2 linked regions of the Daphnia pulex genome follow. The protein of the gene in region 1 binds, or shares a complex with, the protein of each later gene. Links are inferred from orthologs where the notes say so. Each region holds a gene or a part of one and is shown on either strand. Other genes may lie near its edges.

The links.
Region 2: ribosome biogenesis protein BOP1 homolog (region 1) and pescadillo homolog share a complex: the UniProt entries of both Homo sapiens proteins name them as parts of the peBoW complex. The link is inferred for Daphnia pulex from reciprocal best matches to the Homo sapiens genes BOP1 and PES1.

Annotation. Positions count from the first base shown.
Region 1 is NC_060021.1:9,840,758-9,856,171, forward strand, and holds ribosome biogenesis protein BOP1 homolog, read left to right. Parts: upstream 1-5,323; 5' UTR 5,324-5,408; coding exon 5,409-5,480; intron 5,481-5,563; coding exon 5,564-5,896; intron 5,897-5,953; coding exon 5,954-6,105; intron 6,106-6,168; coding exon 6,169-6,389; intron 6,390-6,456; coding exon 6,457-7,020; intron 7,021-7,080; coding exon 7,081-7,293; intron 7,294-7,355; coding exon 7,356-7,633; intron 7,634-7,693; coding exon 7,694-7,793; intron 7,794-7,855; coding exon 7,856-8,051; intron 8,052-8,119; coding exon 8,120-8,273; 3' UTR 8,274-8,320; downstream 8,321-15,414. Other genes in the region: protein charlatan-like, read left to right, coding at 463-879, 946-1,308, 1,482-1,948, 2,158-2,916, 4,779-5,034; uncharacterized protein LOC124194447, read left to right, coding at 10,381-11,195, 11,255-12,050. UniProt on the Homo sapiens protein: Component of the PeBoW complex, which is required for maturation of 28S and 5.8S ribosomal RNAs and formation of the 60S ribosome.
Region 2 is NC_060028.1:9,966,585-9,981,751, forward strand, and holds pescadillo homolog, read left to right. Parts: upstream 1-7,344; 5' UTR 7,345-7,488; coding exon 7,489-7,512; intron 7,513-7,656; coding exon 7,657-8,000; intron 8,001-8,060; coding exon 8,061-8,322; intron 8,323-8,379; coding exon 8,380-8,518; intron 8,519-8,574; coding exon 8,575-8,702; intron 8,703-8,768; coding exon 8,769-9,028; intron 9,029-9,092; coding exon 9,093-9,280; intron 9,281-9,344; coding exon 9,345-9,460; intron 9,461-9,536; coding exon 9,537-9,863; 3' UTR 9,864-9,917; downstream 9,918-15,167. Other genes in the region: Fanconi anemia group J protein homolog, read left to right, coding at 128-217, 377-503, 1,580-1,663, 1,754-1,952, 2,014-2,081, 2,153-2,586, 2,662-2,950, 3,055-3,281 and 2 more; uncharacterized protein LOC124208492, read right to left, coding at 4,742-4,925, 4,996-5,099, 5,158-5,302, 5,374-5,625, 5,695-5,790, 5,856-6,098, 6,178-6,235, 6,309-6,502 and 2 more; uncharacterized protein LOC124209777, read left to right, coding at 10,847-11,286, 11,907-11,971, 12,040-12,192, 12,451-12,610, 12,680-12,965; uncharacterized protein LOC124209778, read left to right, coding at 14,578-14,890, 14,956-15,120. UniProt on the Homo sapiens protein: Component of the PeBoW complex, which is required for maturation of 28S and 5.8S ribosomal RNAs and formation of the 60S ribosome.

The sequences.
Region 1 (15,414 bases):
GGTGGTTATAGGGGAGAGACAACTCCCTCTTGTGTCCAAGTGAGAAGAAGAAAATAAAACGCAAGAAGTTTGAGTGGTTTTTCCATCTTATTGTGTACCACCCACGTCCACAGTGGGGGTGGGTGAAACACCCGTGCCAAAGATTTTGTCTTTTTTATCGTGAACAAAATTTCGTGTTATCCCCGATTGCGTCATTTTGTTTGATATGGAGACGGAATTATTGGGCTGAATTTTTCATTTTGGTGCCGTGACCTTATGGCCTCCCGCTGCCGGCCGGAGGGTGGAGACTTTTTAACATGTTGTGTTTAGTGTGTGCGCTTCATTGATTATGGCGGATGTGGAACGTTTTTAGCGTCTGCGCACACTTGACCCGATTTTGTGTTTTGTTATGTGACAGTCCGGTTGGTCATCATCATCAATCGGGACAACCCAAAAATAGTTGACGTGTGTTTTCATTCGTAGATGGCCTTTCCTCTATACCTGAGTTACCTGACATCGGAACAGAAACCGGCAGCGGCTTGTTTCGTCCCGGCCCAGGCCGGCAGTGGTGGTGGTGTTGCCGGAACGCCGGCTACCGGCACTGGAACTGGCGCACCTCCGCCCAGTGGCGGAGCCCGTGCTCCAACGGCTTCCGTTCAAGTCCAGGCCAAGACGATGGATGGAGCGCCCGTACCCGTTGTACCGATGGATTGCTACGAAGACATGTTTCACGAAATAGCCAAGAAATTCTACGGTGAAGGAGCACTAGTGCCTGGAGGCATCGTTCAACAAGGAACCGACCAGAACGGAACTGTTGCCGGTGGAGGAGGCCAGCAACAACAGCAAGGACAAGCCAATTCACAGGGGGAATTGGGTATGATGGATCTAGACTATCAAGCGGTAATTAAACTTAAATTAATTACATTTTTATTTCCTCAATTTTTAATGGTGATTATATTTCTTCAGGTTGGCAAAGATGGCCATTATCAGACGACGGGTCAAGGAGCTTCAGCGGGACCCACGTTGATTGTTCAGACGACAGGCGGTCCCGTGTTGCAAGTGACGATGGAAGCGGCTCCGCACGTCAATACGGGCGGACACCATCCATCGCCGCCAAAGAAACCCAAAATGAGCGTCAAGTTAAAAAAAGCGGCGGCTGCAGCGGCGGCAGCGGCCGCAGCTGCTGCAGCAGCCGCCGCCGCCGCCGCTCAAAACAACAGCAACGCGGCCGGAGCCAGCGGCAAACCCGTCGAATCCACATGGGTGGAGAGCGATGACCTACTACCATGGAACTCGTCAAAAGTGGCTTCTTACAATGCAACTCACAAGGTGAACTACTCCTCCCTAAAAATCTAATCGCATTATATCCCCCGTCAATTCTTTTAGCGCAGGAATTTGAAGGGAAAAACAAATTCCATGACCTAATCAGATAACGATCAATCGTGTGTTCCAATTTTTTTTTTAAATAATAATGTTTGGAATTTTTCAATTTATGTTTCCAGCTGTTTCGATGCCTGGATTGCGGCTGCGTGGGTTTCCTGGCCCGCATCGCCGAGCATTGGCTAGGAGCGCACGCCAACCTGCGTGTGTTCCAGTGCCCGCGTTGCCACTACAATTCGGCGTGGGCTCGCTGCATCCGGATGCACCTGGCCCGCCAGCACAACGAACAGAACCCGGACAGTTCGCTGTGGCGCGAGAATCCCGTGCTGGAGGAGGTGACCAAATACCTATTGGCGCTCAAGAACCGCGTCGAGAGCAAGGACGAAATGCCGTCGCCAGGCAACGGAGCGGGCGGCGGAGGAGACAAACGGTACTCATGTCCTTATTGTCCGTACGCCACCGATCGGAGGGACCTATACACGCGGCACGAGACCATTCATAGTGAAGAGAAGCCCTTCCAGTGCTTCATTTGTGACAAGCAGTTTAACCGGGCCGATCACTGCAAAAAACACTTTAGTCGCATGCATAGGTATCCATCTCTGCAAAACAAAAACAAAACCCCAGACTTTTTGAAATTTGTTTTTTACTTTCCACGTTTGATTATTTCATTCCAGTTATTCCCGATACAATTTATATGGATCTCTCTCTCTCTCTATTGGAGCAAAACTAGTTTTTAGATTTTTAGTTTAAATTTTCCTTTTTATTCATTCCGGAATTTTTTTATTTCGTTTGTTGCAGGGATACGGCGTACGATTTACAAAAGATTAAGAAAGCTGCGGGAGGTGATGGTCATCACGGTGGACATCACGCAACGGCAGCCGCCGCCAAAGCACCAGCTGCTCACGTTGTTGTTGCCGCAACTGTTCCTCCTACTCAAGTCCCTTTTTACACAACCGTGGCGGTACAACAGCAACAACAACAACAACAGCAGCAAAGTAGCCAATCGGTGGCCAGTCAAAACAATCAACAACAGCAGCAGCAGCAACAACAGCAGCAGCAGCAACAACAACAACAGCAAGTGGCGGTCCAGCGTCCTCCTGCGACAGTTGTAGCGGCCTATCAATCCCATTTGGGGTTGCCGGCCTTCCCCAGTCAGCCCACACCTACGCAAGCCTATAAAAGTTACACAACACTCGGAGTGGAAGCCTTAGTCCGACCGACTCACACCATCGCCACACCGACGAGTCAGCAGCAGCAGCAAAACAGTTCGACGTCGGGTCAGTCGTCTCAGGCGTCTGGCGGTGGCGAGAAGAAGAAGAAGGAAAAGTTGTACGCCTGCACCTATTGCGCCTGGCGAGGAGTGGACAATTGGTGCCTCAAACGCCATCTCAACACCCACATCAAACCCTACCTCTGCGTCCTGTGCGACTACAAAGCGGCCCGCTCCGAACGGCTGGCCACTCACGTCCACAAAGTTCACAATAAGCGAATTTGCGGCAAGTGCAACTTTTTAGCAGACGACCAGGACGCCCTCAGCCAACACATGCGTGAACATCAGTAAGTAGAATGGCCCGGAATAAAAACAAGTCCCTCGCGTTTTTCTTTTCTTCTTCACAAACATTTCGCCAAATATACACACGACACACACACACACATTTTCATTCACATCACATGCAAATCATCCTGGGCGCCGAGCGCAATGGATCCCACCAAAAATTGATACTTTGGGTAAAGGGAGGGAGACAAACAGCCATCCATATTTTTGTTTGAATTGAAGCCAAAGTTTGTTTCGCTTATTTCTCTTCTTCATCCCGCCGCACACCTTATTTCCCCCCCCCCCCCTTAATATTTGGTTTATTTTTGTGGGTAATTGACTCACCCAAAATGATGGCCTTGCACGCGGGTTTGACGTGTTTTACAGCCAACGATTGGTACTATTTTGTCGAGTGTGTGTGTGTGTGTATAGTGGGGTTGTTGTGTTTCTTTTTATACAAAAGAATATTGTGCAGGTGTTTGACACACACACACACACAGGTGGGCGCCATAAAAATCATCTGTAGAGTTTACAAATGCGGGAGCTTTCGAATTTGTTTTCGGGGATAATCTTCATTTCTCCCTTTTTCCTATTTTGTACATTTTTTCGGTTGGCTTATATTATCACTGGGGGTTCGAATCCGATCCATCAATTCCGTACAGGGAAAAAATGTTTGACTAGAGGCAATTGAAATAATCACAATTACGGGGAATTTGTTTTTTTAAAAAGAAAAAAAACCAAACACACGGCCGCTTAACTATACTATAATATTTTTTTGCCAGCTTTAAAAATCTCCCCACCACCTTCACCAAATCCAAACCATGTTGTGACGTGTTGGGAATTGACGGATCGATTTAACTCTTTTGAATTTCGGGTGTTGAGAGATTTTACCTGTCATTTGTTTCGCTTTTTTGTTTCCCCATGCGCCCCCCTCCTGAATGTGTGTGTGTGTGGTTGTCTGTGTGAGAGTGTGTGTGTGTGATTAATAGAACTATTCTGACGAAAGTTACGATAGAGAAACTAATTTGCAAAAGACAAAAAAGAATAATATCTAGCACTCGGAATTAGTAAAACAATTCTTTGTAGTGCGAGCCAAATTGTTATTAGCTCCGAGCAGAAAAACAAATTGCTTTATAGCCCTTTCAAATAAAATATCACCATCATTTTGATAGATAAACAACAGATTAAAAAAAAAGTTAATAATCTCATTTTTTTTTCTCCCTCATTTTCTTATGCAGTTGTAAAAAAAATTCAATTAATAAAGAAGTTTTTCAATGTTGAAAATTTTTCTCGATTGACTAAAAAAAAGATCTTTGATATCCTCCCGATTTTTTTGCCTACCCCTCCTCACTTTTTAAAATGTACAAAAATCGTTTTCACACACACAGATAACAGAATACAAATCCCGTTTTTTTTTTCGATTCATTATTCGTCGTATCTGATTGTTTTTGGATTTCTTTATGATCCCTGGTCGACTTTTTTGTTTCGCGCACTTTTCAAATCTTCCCGCAATATTTTTGTTGGGACACGCCAAAGAGCTTCATTTTCCTTCTTTTCGTTGATGGGATTTTGTCATTCTGGGGTTTTTTCAACATGTCCTTTTATGTGTGTCGCTTGGGTTTCCCTTGACAAGAATTGTTTCGGCTTCACTGCCAAAAGATTTCATTGCCTTGTCTACGTCTTTTCAATTATTAACCCTGCCAAAAACAAAAGTTACACAACAAGTGTGATTTTCTATTATTTTGGTGGAGGAATTTGGCACCCTGAGGTAGGTCATTTATTTAAACTGAATTGATTCAAATACGGGTTATACAACACATTATTACCTACCCGATGATGAAACCCCCAAAAATAGAAATGACGTTTGATGTTGAGTTTGTTTTAGTCAGAATCCCGTAGTCAAATCGGAGAGGAGTATCGTCAACGCCAAGGGCAAAAAGGCAAATCAGCAGAAGCCACTGATGGATCAAATGGATGAAACGGGACCGGATGTCGTGGGGATGGAAAATCGTCCTAATCAAATTCTGCTTCAGTGTGAACTGTGCGATTTCCGTACCACCGATGGCAACCTAATTCATGCCCACTTGGCCGAAAACCATCACCGTTCAACAAATGGTACAATGGAAACCTGCCAAAACTGATGGACTCGCCAATACAATCTATTGGAAAGAATATATAATTTTACATCCGTTTTATTTGTAATTTTGCACAATTAACCTGAGTAGCCTTCAAGTAATCCGTTCATTTACACAGGTCGTCGTTATGGTTTAATAATGTTCCCGTTATAATTTTTATCGAATGTTTACCCCTGCCAATTTAAGTGTTGCCGATTTAAAAAAAATCACATTCGATTGTTTACATCTATGCTGCTGAAAATAAAGAGTAAAAGACATATGATATAAAGAAAAAAATATTCTTAGGTATCGATTGATTAGTTGGCATTTTTATACGCGAGAGGGATGATAAAAATAAATCTGGCAACGCTTTCTCTAGTACACACGTGCGTAAGGTGAAGATGGCGACTGCTTCGAAATCATCTAAACGTCGCCTCGAAATTGTTGAAAACAATGAAAATTCCGCTGAAGTGGTAAGTAGAAATCACCGAAATTGGATTAGGAAATGAATTACCTCTTTTTCTGTGTATTTGACATGTATTTTACATGTTTCTAGGACGACATAATTGAGGCACAAGTTTCCGACAATGCCGATGACAGCACCGACGAGGAATCTAGTGAATACTCCGGTTTAGAAGATGACGAGGAAGATGATAGTGATGACGAAGAAGATAATTCTGATTGGGAAGAAGGTAGTGATGAGGATGAAGAAGAGGGAGATGAAGTACACAATATGAGTACCAACGAGGATAGTGAGGATGACACAGCGGAGAATAAAGTGGTACCCACTGCTGTACCCATCGCACAAGATGGACCCTCTACGTCTACTGCCCAACTGCCAGCTCCTCCTGTAGAGGATGAATATGCATATGATTCTTCTGATGAGGAAGTATGTTTGTTTTAAAAATGTGCTATATTGGTTTCTGAAACAACATTTTATCTTCAGGATTTGAGAAACACTGTGGGAAACATTCCAATGAACTGGTATAATGACTATCCTCATATTGGTTATGATTTGGAAGGAAAAGCAATTCTCAAACCCAAACGAGGAGATGAAATTGACAATTTCTTGAGGAAAATGGAGAATCCAGAGTCATGGTAAACACTTTTCACAGCACTGTCCCTTTGATTGTTGACTAAATTATTTTGATATTGCAACAGGCGGACAGTTTATGATCCACAGACAGGCCAGGATGTTATCTTGAGTAATGAGGATGTGGATCTCATCAAAAATGTCATGGGTAGTAGAATACCTGATGGAAGCTATAACCCTTATGAACCATGGGTTGATTGGTTCACTAACGAAGTCATGGAAACACCTGTTACTGGTAGACCTGAACATAAAAGATCTTTTATTCCCTCAAGAGTTGAAGCTATTAAAGGTGACTGCTAGTGGATTTGTTATCAACGTGTTTCCAAGTTAGACTAATCCTTTTTTACACTTTCTAGTTGGTCGAATGGTGCACGCTATCAAGATGGGTTGGATGAAACCTCGTGTGGCTAAAGACACATCCGTTGAACGGCACAAGTATTATTTGCTTTGGAATGCCGATGACAAGTCGGAGGATGTTCGTCGTATTGAAAATCCTATCCCTGCTCCGAAACCTCGACTTCCGGGGCATGCCGAGTCCTACAATCCCCCTCCAGAGTACGCCTTTTCTGAAAGGGAAATCAATCAATGGAATCGCTTAGCCGAAACTCCGTACCAGCGCAAGTTCCCATTTATTCCCCAACGGTTTAGCTCGCTGAGAGCAGTGCCAGCTTATGACAGATTCGCTCGCGAGCGATTCGTTCGTTGCTTGGATCTTTATTTGTGCCCTCGTGCCAAGAAGATGCGTTTGACAATCCAACCGGAAGATCTTGTACCGCAATTGCCTAAGCCAAGGGATCTCCAACCGTTCCCAACGGTCTGCTCTATGATTTTCAAGGGCCACAAAGGACTTGTTCGTACTATTAGTCACGATCCTTCAGGCCAGTTCTTTATTTCTGGTTCCGATGATCAAACACTTAAGGGTAAGTTGATAAAATGATTTTTTGGTAACATTTCATCCATTTTCAATTTTTATTTCACAGTATGGGAGATTGCAACTGGCCGCTGTTTCAAGACTTTTGAAGTTAAAGGAACTGTCCGTTGCGTTTCTTGGTGCCCGAACTCGTCTATTGCTCTGGTGGCTGCTGCGGTTGATAATAACGTCTATTTAATCAACCCTGGTGTAGGAGATCGACTTGTCCAAGCCAAAACAGATGAGATTCTCAAGGAAATGCCTGCGCAAACAGATTATCTTAGTAAGCTCATTTTTATTTCTGCTCCAGTTCATTTTTAAATGTCGTACTACTTCTTTTTTCAGTTCCTCAACGAGTTCGTGCTGTTTTGACGTGGAACGAGCCTGATAAGGCTCAATGGGATAGTGGATTCCGTGTTACTCTTACTCACTTCAAGGCAGTGAAACACGTAGCCTGGCATTCAAAGGGCGACTACTTCTCGTCGGTCATGCCGGAAGGTGACAATCGATCCGTGCTGATCCATCAACTTTCTCGACGCAGATCACAGTTGCCTTTTAGCAAATCCAAGGGACTTGTGCAGTGCACTCTGTTCCATCCCCTTAGACCTTATCTATTTGTTGCGGTAATATTTTGTTTGTTAAATTTCACGTTAACTGAAGCTTAATTTGAGATTTTTTGGCAGACACAACGTCACGTTCGAGTATACAATCTTTTGAAACAAGAACTTACCAAAAAATTAATGACAGGAGCCAAATGGATTTCTTCGATTGCAGTTCATCCAGGTAAAGTTCAAACTTCCCAACAACTATTTGCAGTCTAATTTTCATCCATCTACTTGTAACAGGTGGAGACAACATCCTCGTAGGAACTCACGATCGTCGTCTTTGCTGGTTCGACTTGGATTTATCAACTAAACCTTATCAAGCTCTGCGTCATCATGGTCAAGGTATTCGTGCAGTGGCCTATCACAAACGATACCCTCTCTTCGCTTCTGGATCGGACGATTGCTCTGCCATTGTTTCACATGGAATGGTCTACAAGTAAGACATCTTGATTACTTAATTTGTTTGTTGAACTTCTCATTACTTTTATTTTTCTAAATTTATAGCGATTTGTTGAAGAACCCAACAATTGTCCCGTTGAAGAAACTGCGTGGGCATGCCAAATTTGATGATTTCGGTGTTTTCGATGTTCTCTTCCACCCTACACAACCATGGTTGTTTACCAGTGGAGCAGATGCTACGATTCGATTGTACACGTAACGCACTGAACTCCAAGTGGCACACGATTATTACACAACTGAAACATGTTTGTTTGACATTTGTTTCATTTATTAAATTTTACAATTGATAAAATAAGAAGACTAACAATTGTATTCGTTCAATAATGGAAACATCAGTTTGGTTATTGTGCAGCACTTATAAATAAGCGATACATGATATTGTATGATTGAAAACCCATGGCACCAAGAAAGGTCGATCATTGTTCATTGTCATAATTAAATTTTATAAGTGGTCTAGTTTCAATTCCATGGTCCTCTCGGGAAGTATTTTTTGTTGGGTGAAGCTGGCACTGCAGACATCTGTGCAGCACTGAAGGAAGACATTCCGATTCCAATTATTGCCATAAGAGTTGCAGTCAACTGTGGGGGCCATCCTTCAGATCGCAGTCTTGCAAACTAAGACACAAAATTGGAATTGAACGGTATGTTTGATAAAATTTCAGAAGTTAACTTACCCCAGTGGTCCATCTGTAGGCTGTGCGTACAGTGGAAACTTGAACAATCATTGCCTAAACATGAGAATCAAACATTAAATATCTTGAAATGAAATGGACACAACGCGCAAAAACAGACGCTTTCACTAGTATAAAAAAGGACATGTTTCACACTGATATGTGTAACTAGCACGTGACGAAATAACTGGAAATACAGGTACCCCATCTTGAAAATAAATTTGTTAAAACCCAATGAAATCTAAAGACTGGAAATTTTTTCACCTAGAGTGTTTAAGTACCAGCCCAAGTTAGAGGAAGTCGCCGGCCGAATTAACCGCGGAAATCGGCTTTGCGGAAATTATATACGGCCTCGAGAGAGAAAAAAACAGAACGTTTGTGGCCTTGAAACCACCCACGGCCGCAGACGAAACCCTTATAACGAGTAAGTTGGTTACCAAGTTATAGCGTTACTAGGCGTCACAGCGTTGCTATCCTGTCAAATAAAAGTTGAAAACGGGAACCTTTTTTTAACTGGTCAAGGCGGCCAAGGGTAAAAAGGCAAACCTGTAGTAAACAAAGTCGTCTTTATCGTAATTCTTACGTATATAATGATAAATGTGGCCTACGTCTATTTTGAGACCAAAAATCAAAAGTAGAAATCTGATAGAAATTTCGAGAGTTGAAAGATCTCAAGTGACCTAAAATTACATGTAAATGTGATGCTAAAAAGTGGTTGTAGAAAATACCACGAAAAATTCTTAGCACTGGAGTTATCCTATACGAAGCAGTGTAAACTGGTGAGAAAATGAGGACATAATTAAAAAGAAAGGAAAAAGTGAATCCTATTCTTAACTGCAGCGACTCCCGAATTTTTCGTTTCAGGTTCAAGACTGGTAAACATCGGCCGACTGCCAAAAACTAAAATACGCGGCGCCGACTTGTGCTAACGGTATGCAAAAATTGAGGGTCGAATAAATGTGAGCTCACGTAGCCAGCATGCTTAACTTTGTATTTGACATTCTTCTGATGGTTTTCCTACATTATGTGAAGCGCGAATCCGCTTTTTTCAGGGACACGGTTGTTATGTCATTTGCAAATTTCTTGCAAAGTAAAAGTTGGCAATCTGCCAAGAGCAAAAACGTACAGGTTTTCATGGGGTTTGCAAACATTGAAGGTTGCAATGTGAATGAACTTGGCGTTGCGTACATGCTTTCACAAATATGTCGTTTGAAAAATTTTTCACATTTGCAACGCATTACGACGATCTAAGTCACACCGACACTATTCTTTTTTTTCAGAGACGCATTTTTGGTTATCAGATGTCTGTGTTATTATAATTCAAAACGGATGTTTGTGAATAACAAATTTGTTCCACTAGCACTTGTTTTTTAAAGAAACTTGCAATGTTGCAAATTTTCTTTCGCGGTTAAATTATGCTCTATTCATTTGTTTTTTTAAGGAGAAAAGTCAGAAAACATAATTGCATAATTCTCTTGACAGCTGAGTCTGGCTGAGTCGTGACTTGAGAGTAGCGGAGATCTTAAATCTACAAATTTCAATTTTAGAAAGTGAATCCATTCTATTTTTATTTCGATTGTTCTTTTCAGAGTTCAACGCCTTATTTCTGTCGTTATTTAACATTTTGCAATTAAAATGGAGGGAGAATGTCACGAATCTGGAAGGGTTCTGATGTACCAGTGGAAATTTAAAGATTTGACTGAACGGTGCTCAATCATGACCGAAATGGCTGAGTTTCTGGGATTGAAAGCTTTTCGATTTGCCCTGAAAAAAGTTGGTGGTCAAGACACAAAGACAAGGTTGTATTTCATTTGTACCAATTTGCACAAGATTGGCTATAAAGTGGCGAAAGTATCTGTCAAGATCAAAGGAAAACCTGACCTAGATGCACACATGAACCTTTGTGAGAATGAGCTGGATCACCTTCAGTTATTCGTAAAAGAAATAATTGATTGTGAATGGCAGAAGCAAGAGACATTCACGTTCGGCGTCCACGTTATCGAAACATTGGAAAACTATCGTTACCAATTGTCAGATATTCTATTTACAGATCAGTTGTGGTTGACTGCCAAGAACAAACTCTGGACTGACATTGAATTTTCAGTCCAAAACCACATTTTTTCGGCACATCGGGCCATTCTGGCAGCTCGAAGTCCAACATTGTTTGGTTCAATTGAATCGCTGATTGTTGGCAGTCAAATCAAGATCGATCACACAGAACCCCTTGTTTTTGAAATGTTTCTTCGATTTCTCTATACTGGCGTCTTTCAGGTCAACAACCACCGAAGTGTTAACGAAGAACTCCTTAAATTGGCAGAACGTTACAAGTTGAGCACGTTGAAATCCCTTTGCCAGTTGGCAGTTCAAGATATCGATGCTAATCAACTCACATCATTCGCCATGGCCATGAAACCAGACTTTGAAATTTGCCCCAAGAAACCTCAGCTCAAGTAAGATAAACTCAAAGTCTTATTTACTCCTTCATTTTATTTATTTTGTCTATTTATAGAGAGAAGACCAAAGCTCAATTGTTTTTCCAAAAGTACTATACAGTCATCGAATGCGTTTGGCGGGTGGAAGAATTGCCGCAAGACGATAAGCTGTTCACTTCAGATCAATTGAATTTCCGCAACGATGGAGCGTTCCGGGCGGGACTGGCCGATCATCCATCCACCAAGCACTCAACTCTCTTATCCCCACAGCATTTCCTTTACCTGGCCTGTTCTCACCTGGAGAAAACAGGCACATCCATATCCCATGTTGAGAGTTACATTGACGGCGCCGAATATTGCCGGATGGAGCGACGAGGTGAAAAAGCCTTATACATCTTTGGCCGGGAACTCTACGATCTCGTAGCACCAAGTTCTTTCAAATTCGACATCCTCATCAGAGAAAATCTCGAAAATTTTCGATACCAACTGATGGACAGTCTCCGCTCTGTTGACTACTGGAACATGTTCCTTTTGGCCATCCTGACCGACGCCGAGCTTCAAGTTGGGAAAAAAATTTTCAAAGTACATCGAGTCATTATCTCTTCAAGGAGTCCGGTATTCACGGAGCTGTTCAATACCTCAACGGTCGAATCTGTCACGGGAAAAGTTCGAATCGATGATGGCGTAAATCCTGACGCCTTCAAAGAATTTCTCTTCTTCTTGTACACGGGAGAGCTCAAAGTATCAGCCAACTCCCAGTCCCTATTGAAATTGGCGGAAAAATATCAAGTTAAATCTTTGATTGAAATCTGTCGTGCGGCCATTCAAGAAATCGACGTCGACGAAATCTCTACTTCTTTGATCTGGCTGTGAGTCCAAGCTTTCATAATTTTTAAAATTTTAAATAGCCTTGTGTGTATTCTATATAATGGACATATTCCTTGTTAAATGATGAGCAAGTCAAACGTGCTGTATATTTATTTTAAAAGATGCGCGCCAAATAAATATTTTATGCAGTAAAATATTTTTCCGCTAGATGTCCCTCATTAAAAAAAAACAACAAACATTTGATTCTCATCCCGTAGCAGGTAATTACAGCCAACGATTCTTTAGTTATTATTATTTTTCCACCATATTACTTATGCTTTACGTGATTTCTTTTTATTTTCTATTTTTTCGGTCAACTGGATTGTCTGTAAAATGAGACGGCGCTGAAGCTTAGGATAATAACAGTCAGATGCTGTGGCGGAGGCTGGATGATGGAAGTTGGGTGTGCTGTTGGGTGCGACCACCCATATGTGTGAGAAACGGGCAGCATGTGAGGCTGTTCTCAGTCTAAATATAATGCCATCCATCTCTCCCCGAAAGGAAGACCTGAGCCGCCGCTTTTCCATCACACACACACACAAGAGGTGAAATAATAATAATATCACGATAGGTTCTCTCTCTCTCTATGTGGTTTGTTTGTGATGGTGATCTCCTTTTTTTTTGTTCCCCTCCCTTTCTTCCTCACTCTGTGTCTTTCTCAGTCGATTGATGTGGAGGATATTATCCGCTCGGCTTCACTCGGTTATTGCATCTGCCTCCGCACACACACACACACACACCGTATATAAGCTTATTGCCTCCTATCCTCTTGCGGTACGGCATCACACAGCAACTGGGCCATTTTCTATCTTTTTTCCATCCGCAGGAAGGAAGGAAGAAGACTGATTTGCTCGCTCGACCGTGCAGGTGCGTTTTCTCTGCTGCTGTGCAAGGAAAAGCTTTTTCTCAATCCTCAACCATCAGCCTCTTTGTGGTAACATTCACCGGAAACCTCAATACTATTCAATTGAATTTCGTTTTTGGCGCCAAATTCAATTGATTTAATTTATCTTTTTTTAAAATAGTACCCACCTGCTTCGTTTTTCTTTCAACACAATTTGTTTTTGTATCAAATAAGCTGTCGCTATAGTCGAGTGCAACCGGATACTTTTATCGTTTTTTTTTTCCCTTGTCTATGAGAGACCGCACGCGGTTTATTGTGTGTGTTTAAACGAGGGAAAAAGTCATAGACTCTGTCTCCCCCGAGTCTTTTATTTTTCAAGTTGAAAGAGTATAGGGGGGAAAAAAGTTTCAATCAATTCCCTCTTAACACACCCTCGAACGAGTAACAAACATCTGGTCCATTGGGGATGCTGCTGCATGATCCTTTTGTTTTCTATTGGCGACGACCTTATTGATCATCTTCCATGTTGGCTGGCCCTTGGATGTAATAAATGTCGGCTGTCTGATGAACCGCCGGCCCCGGTTTTTCAGCCAACGCCATTTTTGACGGTGAATTGATTAGCGCGGATCTTCCACCGCTGATGTAGATTGAATGGGTCTTTCATCGATGTGTAGTGGCCGCCATCTGTCGCGCCCCAAAAATCCTCCTCCTCCTTCCTTCCTCCCCCCCCCCCACCATACACACACATAAGAGGAGTATTGTGGTAAAAGAGACTTGGCTCAATGTATAATAAAAGAGAGTGCATGTCACGTGACACTCTTTTGTATATACAACACCCCACCCTATGTCTATATGTGGTAGTAGTTCCTCTAGTTCAATGCCCAATGCAGTTTTTCAGTTATATAAAAAAGGTTGACATACGGTCACTGTTCGGGATCTAATACGGGCCAACACGAGAAATAAATACTTGAACCTTTCTCTAGCCCTGTTTCGCCTATAGCTATATCGATCGATCCCCGGGATTTTATTCGATAGTTTTTATGGCGCAATTCTGGCGCAAAGAGAAATTCATTTTGAAATGTAACAGAAACAAATTCACACTTTCTCTCCCCCAACTACTCTCAAAATAGGAGAAATGTGTCAACCTGCACAAGCCGTCCGCGTTTGAAGCCAAGATGATGGCGGTATGCTGTCGGCAGGAGGAGGAGTGCATCTAAACGCGTCCAATGGTGTTATAGAGGGGAGCGGGAGCAGCCGCTTTGTCGACGCTCCGCCCTTTCGTGTGCGCCACGCTCAGACACTGGCACATGTTAGATCACACACACACAACCACTTTGTCCGATCCCTCATCACTTTTGTGCCGTGGCAGCTCGCCGCTGTGTCTCAGTCGTCGCCCAGCTGTCTGCCAGGATCGCATCGACTTGTCGCTCTGCTTAATACCCAAATAATCAGTTAATTTATTACAATAATAAGTGCTGGAACGCATTCAAAACAGGTAATTGGAATAAATCACGACAACTTATCTTTGAGGTTTTTATTAAATTTGAAATATCTTGAAATTCAGAATGACCATGGACACGACGATGGAGAGCGGCCGTGAATCCAACAGCATCCCGAAGAATCAGACGACGCCTAAACGCAGTTTCGACGTGGCATTTTTGACGGGCGTCAGTGAAAGTCATCGCTACCACAACAACAATCAAGTCAGTTCGGACGAAGACGATCAGGAAGAAGATTTGAGATGTGCCGCCAAGAAATCCATCGAAGATAAACCAACGATCCACAGCAAATTGCAGCAGCAGCAGCAAACGTCGGTCGTGAGCGGATCGCCGAAAAGCGCGTTCAAAAAAGTGAGCAAAATCAACCACAACAACAACAACAACACGGCGGAAACGAGCGCAAGTAGCAGCAGTGCTGGCGGAATGGGTAACAATCTCCCGGTGGATTTGAGCATGATGATGTCGGCTGCTGCAGCGGCAGCCTCCTCCGCACCTCCCTATTACCACCCGTTCTCATTCCCGGCCATTGCAACCACTTTGTCGTTGCAATTACTGCAACAAAACAATGCGGCCAAAGGATTGGCCATGTCCTTGTTCAGTCATCCAGCTGCGGCGGCGGCTGCAGCCGCAATGGCCGCTCATCAGCAGTCCTTCTTCCAGCAGCAGCAGCAACAACATCCGCCCATGAAATCCGGCGGTGGTGGTGGTGGCAACAATCTTTTACATCCGTCTAGGGCGACAGACCGGCGTCCAGATGGAGCCAATAATCTCATCGAGGATTACCTACGAGCCCAAGCTTCGCTCTATCAACATCAATCCGAGAAGGATTTCAACCTCTTCCCGGCTAATAACAAGACTATGCGCCACGCTGATTCTTCGGCAGCCACTTATTGTCCTCCTCCGTTCCATTCCGCGATGGATCATCGGCTTTCGCGGCCTAATTCTTCCAGCATGGCACCTCCTCCTCCGCCACCGCCTCCGCCACCCCCAGCTGCTCCTACACCGACGACTCCGCAGTCTCAACAGC
Region 2 (15,167 bases), on another chromosome or scaffold:
CAGGGCCGACAAATCGAGATAATCGCATGCGATTGTTTGTTTGTTTGTTTGTTTTTTCTGTGTGTGTGTGTGTGTGGAATGGCGCGTTCAACTCAGTAGCTTGTTTACTCTTGCGCATCCATTCCAGGATTCCCAAGATCTTTTTTGGAACGCGGACGCACAAGCAAATCACTCAAGTGGTCAAAGAATTCCGCCGCACCGTCTACTGCAATACTCCGTGAGTCACACACGATGCCCTCGACAGCTATTATTTATTCCCTCTCCCAGCTTACCTTCATTTGAATTTCCTTCTTAAATCTTAAGACTTGAGACAGATATTTTTCTTCTTCTCTTATCATTCCATTCGACTTTGGCTTTGTCGATCGAAATTTTACAGGATGGGCGTGCTGGCCAGCAGGGAACACACCTGCATCCATCCAGAAGTGTCGCGTTCCGCCAACAAAAACGAAGGTTGCAAAATACTAAATGACCGACGATTGGCCAAACAGGATCCGCAGCAGAAGGTAAAAGCGCGTAATTAATTTCCTCGTCTCTCGTTGCGCGACCTTCTTCCCCACCCCGATTCCAGCGAAAAAGGGAAATCGAACAAGCTACACCGTAAAAGTGTAGTATACCTCTTTTGTATCTATCTAATGATTTCCGAGAATTGATCTCGTCCTCCTCGGTAACAACTGTTCGCCATCAACCTGTTACCTGCCAGCCAAGAGAATCACGCATTCAACTTGTTTTGCCATTTAAAGAACGATCGTGATCGCCCGAGCGTCAAATACGATCAAATGAGATCAAAGAACTTGGGTGGGGGGATAACAAAAAAAAAAAAAAAAATGAAAATGACTGGTTTCAAGTTTAATTGCCCGTCATTAGAAGACAGTGAAGAAGGAGGAGCCATGAAACCATCCGGTTATTCAAGACGCCGACGTTGAGACATGATACGCTTTCAAGATCAAATTTTTACTTCCCCCTTTTTTTATTTTATTTTCATGAAAAAAATTTCATTTCTAGTATTTCTTCTTTTCATTCATTCAATAAGAAAAAAAGGAGAAGAAAACGAGGGGAATGGTTGGTGGGTTGATTCTTTTGCCTCTTTGAAGGCGGTCTCGTTTTCTCGTAATGAATCCTATCTTTCAATCCATTATCCAACCGTAGTAATCACCGCAAAAGCGGCATTCGTATTATAACCCCCCTGCAACTTTTTTCTTCGTATTTAGATATTTCTCTCCACCTTCTTTTTCCCCCTATTTTTCGGTTTATTTCATTTTTTTGATTCGACAGCGCTTTGTAATGTGAGCCAAACATTTTGTCCTGTTTTTTTTTCATTATGATGACAATTATTCTCCGTATCTTTCGAGACGATCCGCTCATTTCTCCGAAAGGTTTTTTTTTTCGTCCCTATGACAAAGTGACCATTGTTGTTGACTCAGTTCATGCTTCCCACAATTTTTCTAGTCTCATTTCATTGAACTGTGCGATGGAACACTGGTCGAATTGTTCTTGGCGGACATTCCTGACAAGTTGTCCACTCACACTGGAACTTTAATGAGTCCATTTTTCTCTTTTTTTTTTCCTCAACTCTGTACAGGGTGGTTGTTCATACCGTTGGCAAGGCAAAGACAAGCTCAAGACGCAAGCTCAAATTCGTAACTATGGACTGGTCAGTGGTTGGGTAAGTCAATTTTTAATTTATTATTGTGGGTGATTCAAATGAAAATGATTTTTTCCTTTTTTGCGGGGGATTATTTTGTTTGATGTTTAGGATATCGAAGATTTGGTGAGTTTAGGCCGTCGCATTCGGGTTTGCCCATATTACGCTTCGCGCGACTTGTCGGAGCAAGCGCAGATCGTCTTTAGCCCTTACAATTACCTGATTGATCCGAGGGTACGTCAGTCGATGAAGATCCCAATTAATGACAATATCATCATTCTCGACGAGGCTCATAACATCGAGGATTCTGGTATTAAGCATTAATTCTTATGTATTAAGCATTAATGCTTATGTACTTAATACATTCACAGCGCGCGAATCAGCTGGAGGTTCTTGGTCACAAGAGGATTTTCGCTTGGCTCTCAATGACTGCGAGAAAGTAAACAAGTCTTAAAAATTGAATGCTTGATGGGCCATCCCCCTATTGTTTCCGTTCTGTGTCTTGAGTAGATCGGTAATCGGCACCCGACGATGGAAAAAGAAATCAATAGACTGGCCAAATTCTCGTCTTACATGATGCAATGGATCGGCAAACACGCCACGAACATGAAGAGTGTCGGCTTCGACCGGGAAGTTCACGTGATGACCGGCACGGAATTTGTAGCCAATTTGAGCGTCGACGGCTACGGTCCCGAAATGCTGGTCGAACTCAAGGCGATAATCGATTATATCTTCAACGAGCAACTCGAGTCGGATTGGAATGACAAAGAGGGCAGCCAGGATCCACAATTGTCGGGTGCCACTCAAACTCTCCTCGAAGGATTCCTCATGATTATGGATTTGATGTTGAACGGTAATCAAATTCACCGCGACGACTACCGGGCCGTAGTCGTTCGCACTGTCGAGAGGAAACAGAAAAAAGGACCTGGATCGTCATTTTTCGGGTGAGTCAATGCCAGGAGACGTTGTAAAATGCCTCACTTTGCAATCAATTATTTTGTTGGAAATGGACTTTTCAGGAAAGCCAACATCGCCTCGCAGTGGACATACGCCCTCAATTTATGGTGTCTCAATTCGGCTGTCGTGATGCATGAAATCAAAGAGAGTACGCGATCTATCATCGTCACATCGGGCACGCTGTCACCCTTGGCCTCCTATCAGTCGGAACTCGATATCGATTTCAAGCTCACTCTGGAGGCCAATCATGTCATTCCAGCCAAACGTGTGTGGATAGGGACCATCTCGCAGGGGCCTAGGAACACTCTGCTCAACGGGACATTCAAGGTGACCGGGACTTTTGAATATCAGGTAAATCTCCTCTTTATTTTCTATTCTCCGATGTTGTACCCGCGATGGTGTGGTTTACGCAACGGCAGTTGACGTTTCTGACCGTCCAACTCTTTTCACTCAAGGATGAACTCGGCCGGTTGGCTTTGTCCGTCTGCCAGACGATTCCGCACGGTGTTTTATGCTTCCTGCCCTCTTACAGTCTATTGGAGAAGCTTGTCACTCGATGGCAGGACACGGGTCTATGGCAACACCTTTCCAATTACAAAACCATCGTTTGCGAGTCGCGAGATTCACGCGACTTTGAGGAAACGCTCAAGAGTTTTTACTCGGCCATCGAAGACAGCGTAAAGTAAACCAGCCTACTTTCTTTCTCCATATTTCAATGAATAAAAATTGTGTTTTTTTTATTAGTGCTCTGAGTTGCTTAGACTTGGACGGCTCGGGTGATGGGTCTGAATGCCCGAGCAAAAAAACTGGTGACGTACCCAGCGGCGCTCTGATGTTGGCCGTATGTCGAGGCAAAGTCAGCGAAGGACTTGACTTCACCGATAACAATGCCCGGGCCGTCATTTGTGTGGGAATCCCTTTCCCAAATTTCAAAGATACTCAAGTCGAATTGAAACGCCAATACAATGACAAATTGTCCGCCTCTACACCGTTACTCAACGGAAGTGAGTGGTACGAGATCCAAGCCTTCAGGTTAGTTTTTCTTTTCAAATTATCTTTCGGTCTATCCATTACTTTTCCATCAAATAGTACAGGTTTTTTGTTTGTTTGTTTGTTTGTGAAATAGGGCATTGAATCAAGCACTAGGACGCTGTATCAGACACAAAGCCGATTGGGGAGCTATTCTCCTAGTGGATGATCGTTTTGCAAAAACGCCACGATACGTGAACCAATTATCCAAATGGGTCCGGTCTTCTATTCGTCACTTCCACTGCTTTCCGCCCATGTTAAACTCGTTGAAGGAATTTGCCGATAACTTTGTAGCAGAAGACGCTGCTGCTTTGGTTGCCAGTCAGCAACAGTTACTTTCATCTACTCAAGAAGAGTCGCAATCGTTCACCCCTATGGCCGTCTCCAGCTCACCTTATTTCGCCAAACCCGCTGTGTCGTCACCGAATGTGGTTTATCTTTCTGAGGATGAAAACGATTCCATTCTCTCTGTGAATGATAGTCTCACTGCTGAGATTTCGCCGTTGAAGACACGTCCAGTGCAGATGAACGCATCACCAGTCAATCCTTTGTTGACTAACAAGATATCGCCGACGGTGCCTGTGCATTCGACAGAAATGAAGACAACTCCCGTCAGGCACCCTGTGCCTAGAAACAAGAAACCGTTCGCCACTCTTTTGGGGAATCCGAATAAATTATCGCTTTCTCAGCGTAAATTGGCTGCCGAGAATGGATCTCACTATTTCCAGGATATGAATCCAGCTGCCGCAAACGTCAAACCTGATTTTGATTCTTAAAGTATTTTGATAATATTGTATGTTGTTCTTCCCAACCAAGCGAAATATTCTTGTAAGTGGATTCCTTTACTCATTATCATTTCAACACTATGTACGTGTGTTGCTAATATTCCATCGAATTATTGAAGTGCACAGGTTGTTTTAATAAGATTTCAATTACCGATGCAGAATATTTTTAAGGAACAGTGGGTAAAAATGTGTTTTAATTTTTTACTACAGGGAAAAAAAAAGGCAATTGCCCAATTTAGATGCTTATTAACAGTTCCATTGCTTTAACATTGACTAAATTTATTCACCATATTATTTTCTTAAAGATTTCTTGAAACTACATAATTTATCACATATTTAACAGGAGCACCAAAATAGCGTTTAAAATAACTAAGCTTATCACACCAGTTTGCGATTGAACAGCTGAATTTGGACATACATTTAAGGCTTGCCAGGTTTGCGAGCATTTTGTGTCGTCGTTTTCGGGATATAATTCGGTAAGATCGACGAATTTGTAATTCTTCAAGTTATGACTGCAAATATTTGAAGGTTGATATTAATCGTGTGCATCGAATCGGATACGAAAATGAAAAAGCTTCTTACTAATCCGGTGACGACTGATTGCTACCTTCCGGTACAGGGTACAAACTGTTCCACTGACGTTCTTCATCAACGCCGTGAGTAGAATGCGCATTCATTAAGTATACCTATTCAAATCAAAGTTATTAATCCTAAATTGGTTGATGTTGGTTGTTTACTACGTACTCTGGGTGGTAGATACGTCAAAGGAATAGTGGCAGATCCATTCCAATGACTTCCGAAACGATTAAATGAATATTTCAATGGGGAATCCAAACTTCCAACTTTGTTGTAATAGCCATTCCAGAAAACGACAAGATAATGTCCCCACCTGCAAGTTGAAAAAGTAATGTTAAAACAGATAGAATTGGCTCGCTTAGTGATTTGATAACGAAAACATACGGTCCAAGTTCGATTTCCAGATATTTCAAATCCGGATAACCAAGTAAATAAAGATGGACTACTTCGTATTTATATAAATCTGCAAATGGCCCTCCATTGGTTTTTTCTGGAGCTGGATCATTGTAAAAGGGTGCGCTAACATTTAGAATCAAATTGGTACGTGATGCATCAAGTTGTACATGTAAGTCGACGGTTTCATTGGAAAGAAGTTCTTTTCCCTTCCATGAAGTAGCGATTTGAAAACTGCGAATCCTTTAACAAAAAACATCAGTGGTGTTGCAAAATTTAGGATTAAAAATATCAGCATTTCGATTAAAGTACCCTTGTAGCGCATCCGTCCAAACCGACGACATCGCTTCAAAATTTTCAGTAAATAAAACAGTGCTATCGAAGGGTTGGAACGATGTCAATTTATGACTAAAAAGTAATTAAGTTAATAATAACATTAAAGGTAAGCAGCTCATGTATGAAGTAGTACTTACTCGTCTAGTTCAGCAGTAGCAATGTTTTCAACAGGATAAAGTGCGTTTACGACACGCTTATCTCTTGAACCATGATATGAAAAGACGTTCAATTTGGAAGCGTTCACAGGCAGGTAGGTTAAAGGAATAATGGCAGTTCCGTTCCATCGTTTGCCACTCCTGTATGCCTTGTAATTTATCAACATTCCGAAACGAATCGTGTGTCGATACCCATTCAAGAGTAATACAAAGTGATGGCCCCACCTGATTAAAAATTTGAACTTCCATTAATCTAGTAGCAAACTAAACTAGCCATTGCTCAACCGTGTAAAAATGTACTTACGCTCCCAGCTGAATTTCAATATACTGGTGTAGATCGTTCAAGAAGAAAATTTTTACCACTAGATCAATTAAATGAAAATAATACTTTACACTTTCAGAAAATTAATAGACAAAAGTTAGTAGAGTACATACATTCATAATCCCAAAGCCCCCATTTTGGTTCACCTACATCACCAGGTGTGTTTGGAGGAGGGTCATCGTAGAAAGGAGCTTGAACAACAATTTTGAATGACTTAGAATCATGTTTCTCCAAATTTATTATGACTTGATCAGAAGAATCAATTGTCATGTTATTCCATGATGTTTTTATAACATACTCTGCAGCACTGTAAGTAAATAAAGCAATATAATTATGAATGATTGCCATGTTTAATATAATTTTGGTCAAGTTAATACTGCATGACACAAGACACATCTGGACCAAGTCGATATTCAATATTCATTATGCCCATGTCCTAGAATAAACAATTCAATTGCAAACCAATCAATTGTTTACTTACTTTGTGTTTGGTAAATGAACTGAGATCATAAAAAGTAGCCACAGAAAAATGAATGATTGATTCACATTATGCAATCCCCTATATTAATCAAAACAAACATTTGGTTAATACAACATAGGGCAAATAGATTGTTATGTAGTATTTGAAAACTACAGTATACAATAATGTATCATTACATATAATACCTACATGTCCAGTAATTAGTATATGCCTTTAGCTTTCAAGCAGTTTCAAGTTTCAACAGCCTCTGCCTAAGAAACGATTTTCTTTGAATAGACAATGTTCTAGGCTTGGCAATCTGTTTTATTTGGCTAACAAACCTTGCGTCACTGATAAGTGATAAATACGAAATACGAAATTACGAATGTTGATAACTTTTTCTTTTCATCTTTTTCAAAGCAAATATCAATATTAGAGGCCAAGTCGCCCAAGATATTTCACAGTTTCACTATCTGTCAAATCCATACTGCCATGAGTGCCATCTATTGAATAATTAATATAACTTGCTTTTCAATTAAAATCTTATAAGATTTTATTTTATAATGACCACATTTAGTAAATTTATGTCGAAAATAATTTTATAGAATGATAAATTTATAAAATCCCAATTTTATTGATGTTTTATCGGAAACGTTGAAATGTTTTCTCGGCCTTTTTGAACTAGAATTGTCAACTACCGATAGTCCGATACCGTCGTCTGCTTGTCATAAAGTTTGGCTTTTCGGTGCACGTGGTCGCTTAAATACGCAATACGATCGAGCGTATGTTCTTTTGATCCGTTTAATTGAAATAGCATATAACAAGCATAAAAAATGGGAGCCCGTATGAAGAAAAAGGTTTGTTGCCAAAAGAGTTCATATTATAGATGTAGTGTTGTATCTTTCATGTTGTCTGCCACTGTCTAAAATATGCACATGTGACGTGTCATGCCTTAGCAAAGAGAAATAGAACGTGATGAAAACTAATTATCCTTTAATTAGTACGAAGCAGGTGAAGCTACCAAATATATAACAAGAGCTCAAGCCTTGAAAAAGCTGCAACTAAACTTGAAAGACTTTCGGCGCCTTTGCATCTTGAAGGGTGTATACCCACGTGAACCCAACAACAGAAAGAAAGCCCAGAAGGGAAAGCTTGACAAGAAGACCCTGTATTATGTGAAAGATATCAGATTTTTGAGCCACGAACCTCTGATATGGAAGTTCAGGGACTTCAAAATCTTCATGAGGAAGATGAAGACTGCGATGGAGAAAGGTGATAAAGAAACTGTAGCAAGGCTGAAAGATAACAAGCCTAGCATGAAGTTAGACCATTTGGTAAAAGAAAGGTAAGAAATGGTAATAGATAATAAAATGTTCACTGTCTATTGATTAATTTATCTTCTTAGATACCCTTCATTTCTTGATGCACTCAATGATCTGGATGATTGTTTGACCCTCTGTTTTTTCTATTCGACTCTACCGCGAGACACCAAAGTTCCGGCGAATCTGATTTCACTTTGTCGCAGGCTCACCGTTGAGTTTTTACATTATGTTATTGCTGCCAAAGCTTTGCGCAAAGTCTTTATTTCAGTTAAAGGCATTTACTACCAAGTAGAAATTAAAGGACAGCCTGTGACAATTCTTATTAACCATCTAAGAGGGTTCAAGGTAATGTCTATCTACCAAATAATTTGAGTGTCATTCTAATCTCTTCAATTTCTTTAGCCCACAACAGCATCGGATGTTGATTATAGGATCATGACAAATTTCGTCGATTTTTATACTTCAATGCTTGGATTCATAAACTTCCGACTCTACCACTCCATTAATCTTCAGTATCCGCCGAAACTTCCGGGAATTAATAGTAATATTGTTTATATTTCTTCATTAATTAAATAAACTTACAAAAATAATTTGTAGTTAACGAAAATGCCGCGGATGAAGATGCTACTGAAGAGTACAACGAACTGGTAGCAGCTTTGAATACGAGTCTTGTTGCAAACGTACCCGAAGCAGAGGAAGAACTTCAAATAGACGAATTTCCATCGGTAAAAAAAATAATAATCTTTTTAATAATTATTGTTTTTGTTCTAAAACTAGCATTTATTCAATAGGCTGATGGACAGGATAAACTTGATGAAGCAAAGCGTGAGGCGGAAGCAATTGAGCGAATGAAGTATCTTTTCAAAGGTTTAAAGTTTTTCATTAGTCGCGAAGTTCCACGTGAATCGGTTGTTTTCGTGATCCGAGCGTGCGATGGTGAAGCTTCGTGGGATTCCTCCATATTTGCGGGCGCCACATATGATGAGACAGATGAAAGCATTACACATCAAATTATCGACAGACCTTCCGTCGAAAAACAATATCTTTCTCGGTAATTATTGCTTGGTTTTTATTTGTGTCAGTACTGCGCATCTAACCGCTTTTCTTCACGACAGTTATTACATCCAACCCCAATGGTTGTTTGACTGCATCAACTTCCGTCGATTACTTCCGGTGGAAGACTATTTCATTGGTGCTAATCTGCCACCGCATATCTCGCCCTTTGTTACTGAGCGTCTTGGTGACTACATTCCTCCTGAGCGACAGGTACTCCTGGCTCTAGAGCGCGGCGAAACCCTTCCAGGTATGCTTTTACTTGTCCTTTCGTACTGATTAAGCTTGCTAAATTAATGCCTTGTGATTACTAGCTGAAGAGGAAGAGGAAGAAGAAGAGGAGGAGGAGAGTGAGGATGATAGCAGTGAAGAAGAAGAAGATAGCAAACCGAAAAAGAATGAAACCACAAAGTCTCAAGTCGTTAAGGAGGTAATGACGAGTTTGTTTTTTAACGATGTTTCTGAAAAAGCAATTAAATGTATTTTTACAACGATGTTTCTCGCAGAAAAAAGGCATGAAGGTAATGAGAGGTCGCGTTGAAATGCCTGACATCAAGGGTATGGACGAAGAGGAAAAAGAACACTACAAATTCCGTGAACTTATGATTCGCAACAAAGACAAACGATTGTATCGCTCCATGATGAAGAATCGTAAGAGCCGTGAACGCGAAGCTAAGCGTTTGGAAAACAAACGCAAGTTCCACGAAAAGGAAGAAAAAGCATTGAAGAAAAGTACGTCTACTGGGAAAGAACTGACCGCGAAATGGTCCATTCAACCCCTATCGTCCACGACCTCAGACACGCAAATCAAGAAAATAAAGAAGGATGCGTAAGTTGTCGTATTCTTCTCCCTTTTTTTGTCTTAATACACGCTATTGTGGAAACAATCTCTGAAAGGCGTTTAGTATGAATACGGCAATTATGGAGTTAATTGCGGGCCTAGCAACACCTTTGTTGTCTTGTTTTTAACGCGTTATGACTACGACCAATTTATAAATGCATGCATGCGTACTTCCATGAAGCTTCCTTTTGGGGGGAGGGTTATCGAACATTTGCCTTTGCTGCTGGCAGTGCTGGCCTCCTTAACTGGGCCACCGGGATGCCTTCTGGCGATGACCGCAATTGGTGTTCCCTTTTTTTAGTGGGAAAACCAGTGTATGGAGCCCTTGGTATAACCGGCAACGACAGAATAACGGTGCGGCAGCTATTCTTCAAGGTGATTTAAGTTACCTGTTTCATTTTCTTTTATTTGAATCTTTTCCTAATGCAGTGTTATTTTATGATTATTTAAAAAACAACAAAAGGATGAATTTCTTCTTCTCTGTTCGAATTTGTGGTTAGGTTAATTGTGTTTTGTATTTTATCTATTCCAAATGCCGTCATAGTCGTCTTTGTTTCTACTTGACTGAGTCACCCGTTAGGTTTCCGTGGAGAAGGAGAACAGCCGCTTCGATTTTCGCCGTCGCCGACTGACTGAAGACTGGATTTAACGGTACAGAACTCTCTTTCGGGAGAGAGAACTCTTTTGAAGGTATCATATCGTCTCGAACCGTGACTTGGTTTGGATCTGTGTGGATTGTTAGCGAGTTGGTGGATAGTGGTGGGTTAGTTTCTTTCCGTGTGTTGGCTTGCGCCTCCGCGCGCACTGTTTGCTGTCCATCTACACCTTATAGGTGGTCCGCTTTCTCCAATCTGTGATTTTTCTGTTGTCATATTTGCTATTTAAGTTTCATTGTTAAGAGCTACATTTTAAACTACTTGTCACGAAAATCGCGTTACCCGTACTGTACGAACTTTGGCGAAACGAGTTCGTGCAATGTCGGTCCGATTTTGGCTTGTTGCGGTCTTCACCGTAACCGTGTTATCCTACCACCTTGTGCCATGCGAATGTCAATCATCCGATGAGAGTGCTGTAGCTCTAAATTCTACAAGCAGTGCCGAGTCGTTGGTCAATGACACCAGCAACAATGCCACCGTTCAAGCCGTCAGCAACTTGGAACGCAATGGTAACAACAGTTCCGGATCATCTTCGCCGTCTGGCTGGAATCGCCTATTGAGAAAATTTTTCGATCGCCCTTCGTCTCAACAAAAACATGCTGACAAGAACCGTATTATCTTGGAGAATCTCAACAACATCCAGTCGAACCCTGAAACAGCCAACACAACTTCCAGCGTTGCTTTCCACGACGAGGAAACAGTAGCCATTATTACCTACGTTAACAAGAACGTGAATAGCTGCAAGTTAATGGAAGTCAAGTAAGATTTCGTTTTCGTATTATATAACAAAAAGAGGTGATTTGAGAAAATTGGAAACTTAGTTTTCCTTTTTGCTCTCATAACACCATTTCGAGACTGATATTTTCGCAGTTCATTTGTTTGTTGCTTAACTTTCATTCACAATCGTAAGGATAATTCTTTTGTGTAAAATTAAAATTCTTTTATTTTAATGCGTTGTATTGAAAGTCTGAAACGAAGGTTATTCTGATTTTTTTACTACCTGCATCCAACTACACACACCCTGAGGGATGAGAAGAGAAACGAAAACTTTCTCCGGAAATGTATCCATTCTTAAGAGAACCCGTCCCATGAATCTATTGTCCGGGAGTTTTTAATCTTATACTACGTTAGTAGTCGAGGATCCGTTGCCCCCTTACACCTTTCAGTACGCCATGCGATGCCAGGTGGCAACCCGTTAGCGGATTTCTGTATATATTAAAGAAATTTCACAGGAAGAACGTCATTGAAGGGTTTTTTCTTCATACGATGCCAAGCTGTTTATACATGATATTGCTATAGGAAAATAACTTAATTAAAACTTATTTTTTTTTGAAAAGCGCAATTCAATGTTTTGTTTTTTCTCTCCCATTTTTTAACAGCTATCACTACCAAGCTGTAGAAGTGCTGAAAAATCTTTCGGTCTACATGCCAATTTACCCAGTTGGTAAATGGCTTTATAATTTGGTTTTATAATCGTTATATTTTGTAAAATTTATATAATTTTTATGACAGACACCCATACCATGGTCAACCTCATTAAACAATGTCAGTATCTAAGGGGACCTATAGAGATGAACGGAAGGGGATGGACATCTAGATCAATGAGGTCAGAGAACTCGACGTCATCTAATTCGTGGACAACGTTTGTCACGACTATTGTTCCAGGTACGTGTGTAAACGTTATCATTGTGAGCACGTATTAGAAATGAAATGCATTATGAAATGGGCATAGCCCGCATCACCAACTGCTTTTCTTTTTTTGCTGCGGAAGGTGACGAAAGAGAGAGAAAGCTTTGTGATGACTAATATTTTAGGCTATGCTTTCTTAACTCAATGTGTTTTGAAAGAACAGATGCAGCTTTCTCACAGATTATTTGAAAGATACATTTTTTATTTGCTATTACTTGCTATTATTTTGTGCAGGAACGAAATGGTGTGGTCCAGGAGACGTTGCCCAGTCTTACGATGACCTAGGTGCTCTAATCGAAGTGGACAAGTGCTGTCGGGCACACGACCACTGCCCGATTAAAGTGAAGGGTTTCGCCAGCGCGCATGGCTTGATGAATCTATCATTTTATACCAAGTAATGGAAATTTTTTAAATAAAATTTTGTATGAAATTTCACAATCAAACATTTTTTTATTTGTTCAAGATCTCATTGCGCCTGCGACGACGAATTCTTTAGCTGCTTGAAGGCACTTCCGACTCCAGTGTCGCGGATGATCGGCAATCTCTATTTCAATGTCATCCAGATGCCGTGCGTTGATGAGCTGCAATTGTCCGTTCCAGACGGACTACCCAAGCCGAAACTCGAAATTTTGCAGCCGGAGCTATGTACAGCCAAAATCTCAAGAAGTGGAGAATGCACAGGTCCCTCCGTTAGAAGACCTTTTCAACCGAGACCCTACAAGTTCGTCACCATAAACCGCGTATTTTAAGTTGATCTTATAACACCTACTTTCCTGGAGTTTCACTCCCAACAAATCAAACCTTTCTTACTCTCGCATCCTCAATATACGGACGGATTCTTCCTCCACTGATGACTGTCTTTATTTCAACTCCTCGGTACTCAGCATTTACGCTTCATGTCGGAATAAAAACGTTTCACGTGCTAGGTCATTATGCATCACGTGTAAAAAAGGGCATTTTTATTATTACCATTTTCCCTGTTTTGAAAATACAGTTAGCGAACGACACGTGAAACCACACTGTTGTGAAATCTTGAAGGCCCATTTAACCAAGGGATCCAATGTAACCAAATTTCTTCGACATAACTGTACTTTTGTACAAGCGGTGCAGAGACGGCAACACGTACGTTTTTCTATTAGGTTCAAATGCTCAGTGCTTGAAGCAACTACAGGTACAACTACCTTTTAAGGCAATTTTATGAATAATGTAGATTTAATGTAGTTATTCTTCAGTTTTGCGGAGGTAGATTTGTTGATGTGAAAGTTACTTGTGAAAATATTTTTACTTAAATTTTTTTTAATAAATTTCGATTCGAGTATGACGCTATTTTGATTAGACTATTTTGCCCCATCCCCGGCTCTCTACCCCCCCCCCCCCCACCACACACACACACACACATAGTAATAAAACACAATGGATTCCCAAACAACAGTAATAACAGCGAAGAATTTAACTTTAAAATAAAAAAAATTAATCCACTAAACTATTTAATATTAAGGAATCAATAAATGAATCTGAATTCATGGTTTGACACATACTAAGAAAATTACAGGTGACAACGTTGTAACAGACTAGTCTTGTAGACGATTTCGAATGGACCAGTCGGAAAATAAAGAAACTTGGGATATCAAATCTCACGAAACTAAACCAAAATTCGAACAATCAACGTCATTACATGAAAGTTATCACCTAAAACTGTGGATTGGTACCATCAAAAGTCTAAAACAAAATCATTCCGATACGAAAACGGCGATATTCGGAAAAAAAGTCATCGCCTATGTTGACATTTTAGGAACTGTCATTGATAAGTTATCTTACGAAAAAGCTGATATTTATGTTTGTATGTAACCAATCTTTTTATATGGTTTTTAAAATTTGTGTAACCAAGATTTCATTTTTTTTAGTGGATGATGGTTCTGGTGTCATATCCTGTCATTCTGGAAAAAAGTCGGCTGAACTTGATAACATTGAAGAACTAAGACTATCTCTTAAAAATGATTCATCTATTATGGTAAATACAAGAATATTAATGCTAAACATTGACCTCTTGAAATTTAGAATTTTCCTGTTTGCACAGCTAATTTCTAATCAAGAAGATGAAGGTTTAGAAACTTTACTTACTTTACTGGAGAAAGAAAAAGGTGACTACACTATAGGCGATACTTTGCATGTTCAAGGAAAATTGAGTTTTTATAAAGAAGAGTGGAAAATATTTGGCAATACTATTCGTAAGTATTTCATACAAATCTTCTGAACTCCTAATGTTTGATTACAAATTATCTTAGGTGCTGTTGAGTTTGAAGAAGAAAATCATAGATGTCTTGAACTAGATTACTTGTATAAAAATATATACAAAACAAAATGAGTTCTGAAGCTGAATCGAAGAATACTGTACAAAATATTCGAGATGAGAATCGTCAAGAGTTCAATAGATTACGGAAAGAAAAACGTTACAAGGTAACAACAGTCCAACGAAGTGGCCTCGAACAATTGCAGCCACGTACCTATTCACCTGTAAATCTCCATTCTATGGCTGCTAATTTGAGAAAGAGGAAGGGTGTCAACAGAGAATTTCTCGCCGATCTGAGTCAAGCATTAGCAGAGTGCGAACAAAATGCAATTATTTTCTGTGGCATTGATGGTTCTATTCCAAGCTTATGCACATTTTTAACAGGTATAGAAATTTTTTGTTTTTGTTTGTTCATATCCAGTTCATATTTAAGAATGTTATTTCAATAGGTGGTGATTCGACTTTACAATTAGAAGCGGCTTATTGCGTTGCTAACGCTGCAGTGTGGGAGGATGAAACTAAAATTGTTAGTCAGGTTGCTTCCGTAACTGGCGCTTACTTGATAACTTTGCTGGGAAGTGGAAATTCTTCTTTACAAGAAGCTTGTTGTTGGGGTATTTTCTTTGATTCCCGTTGAAGTTAATTATGCATTCCACTTATT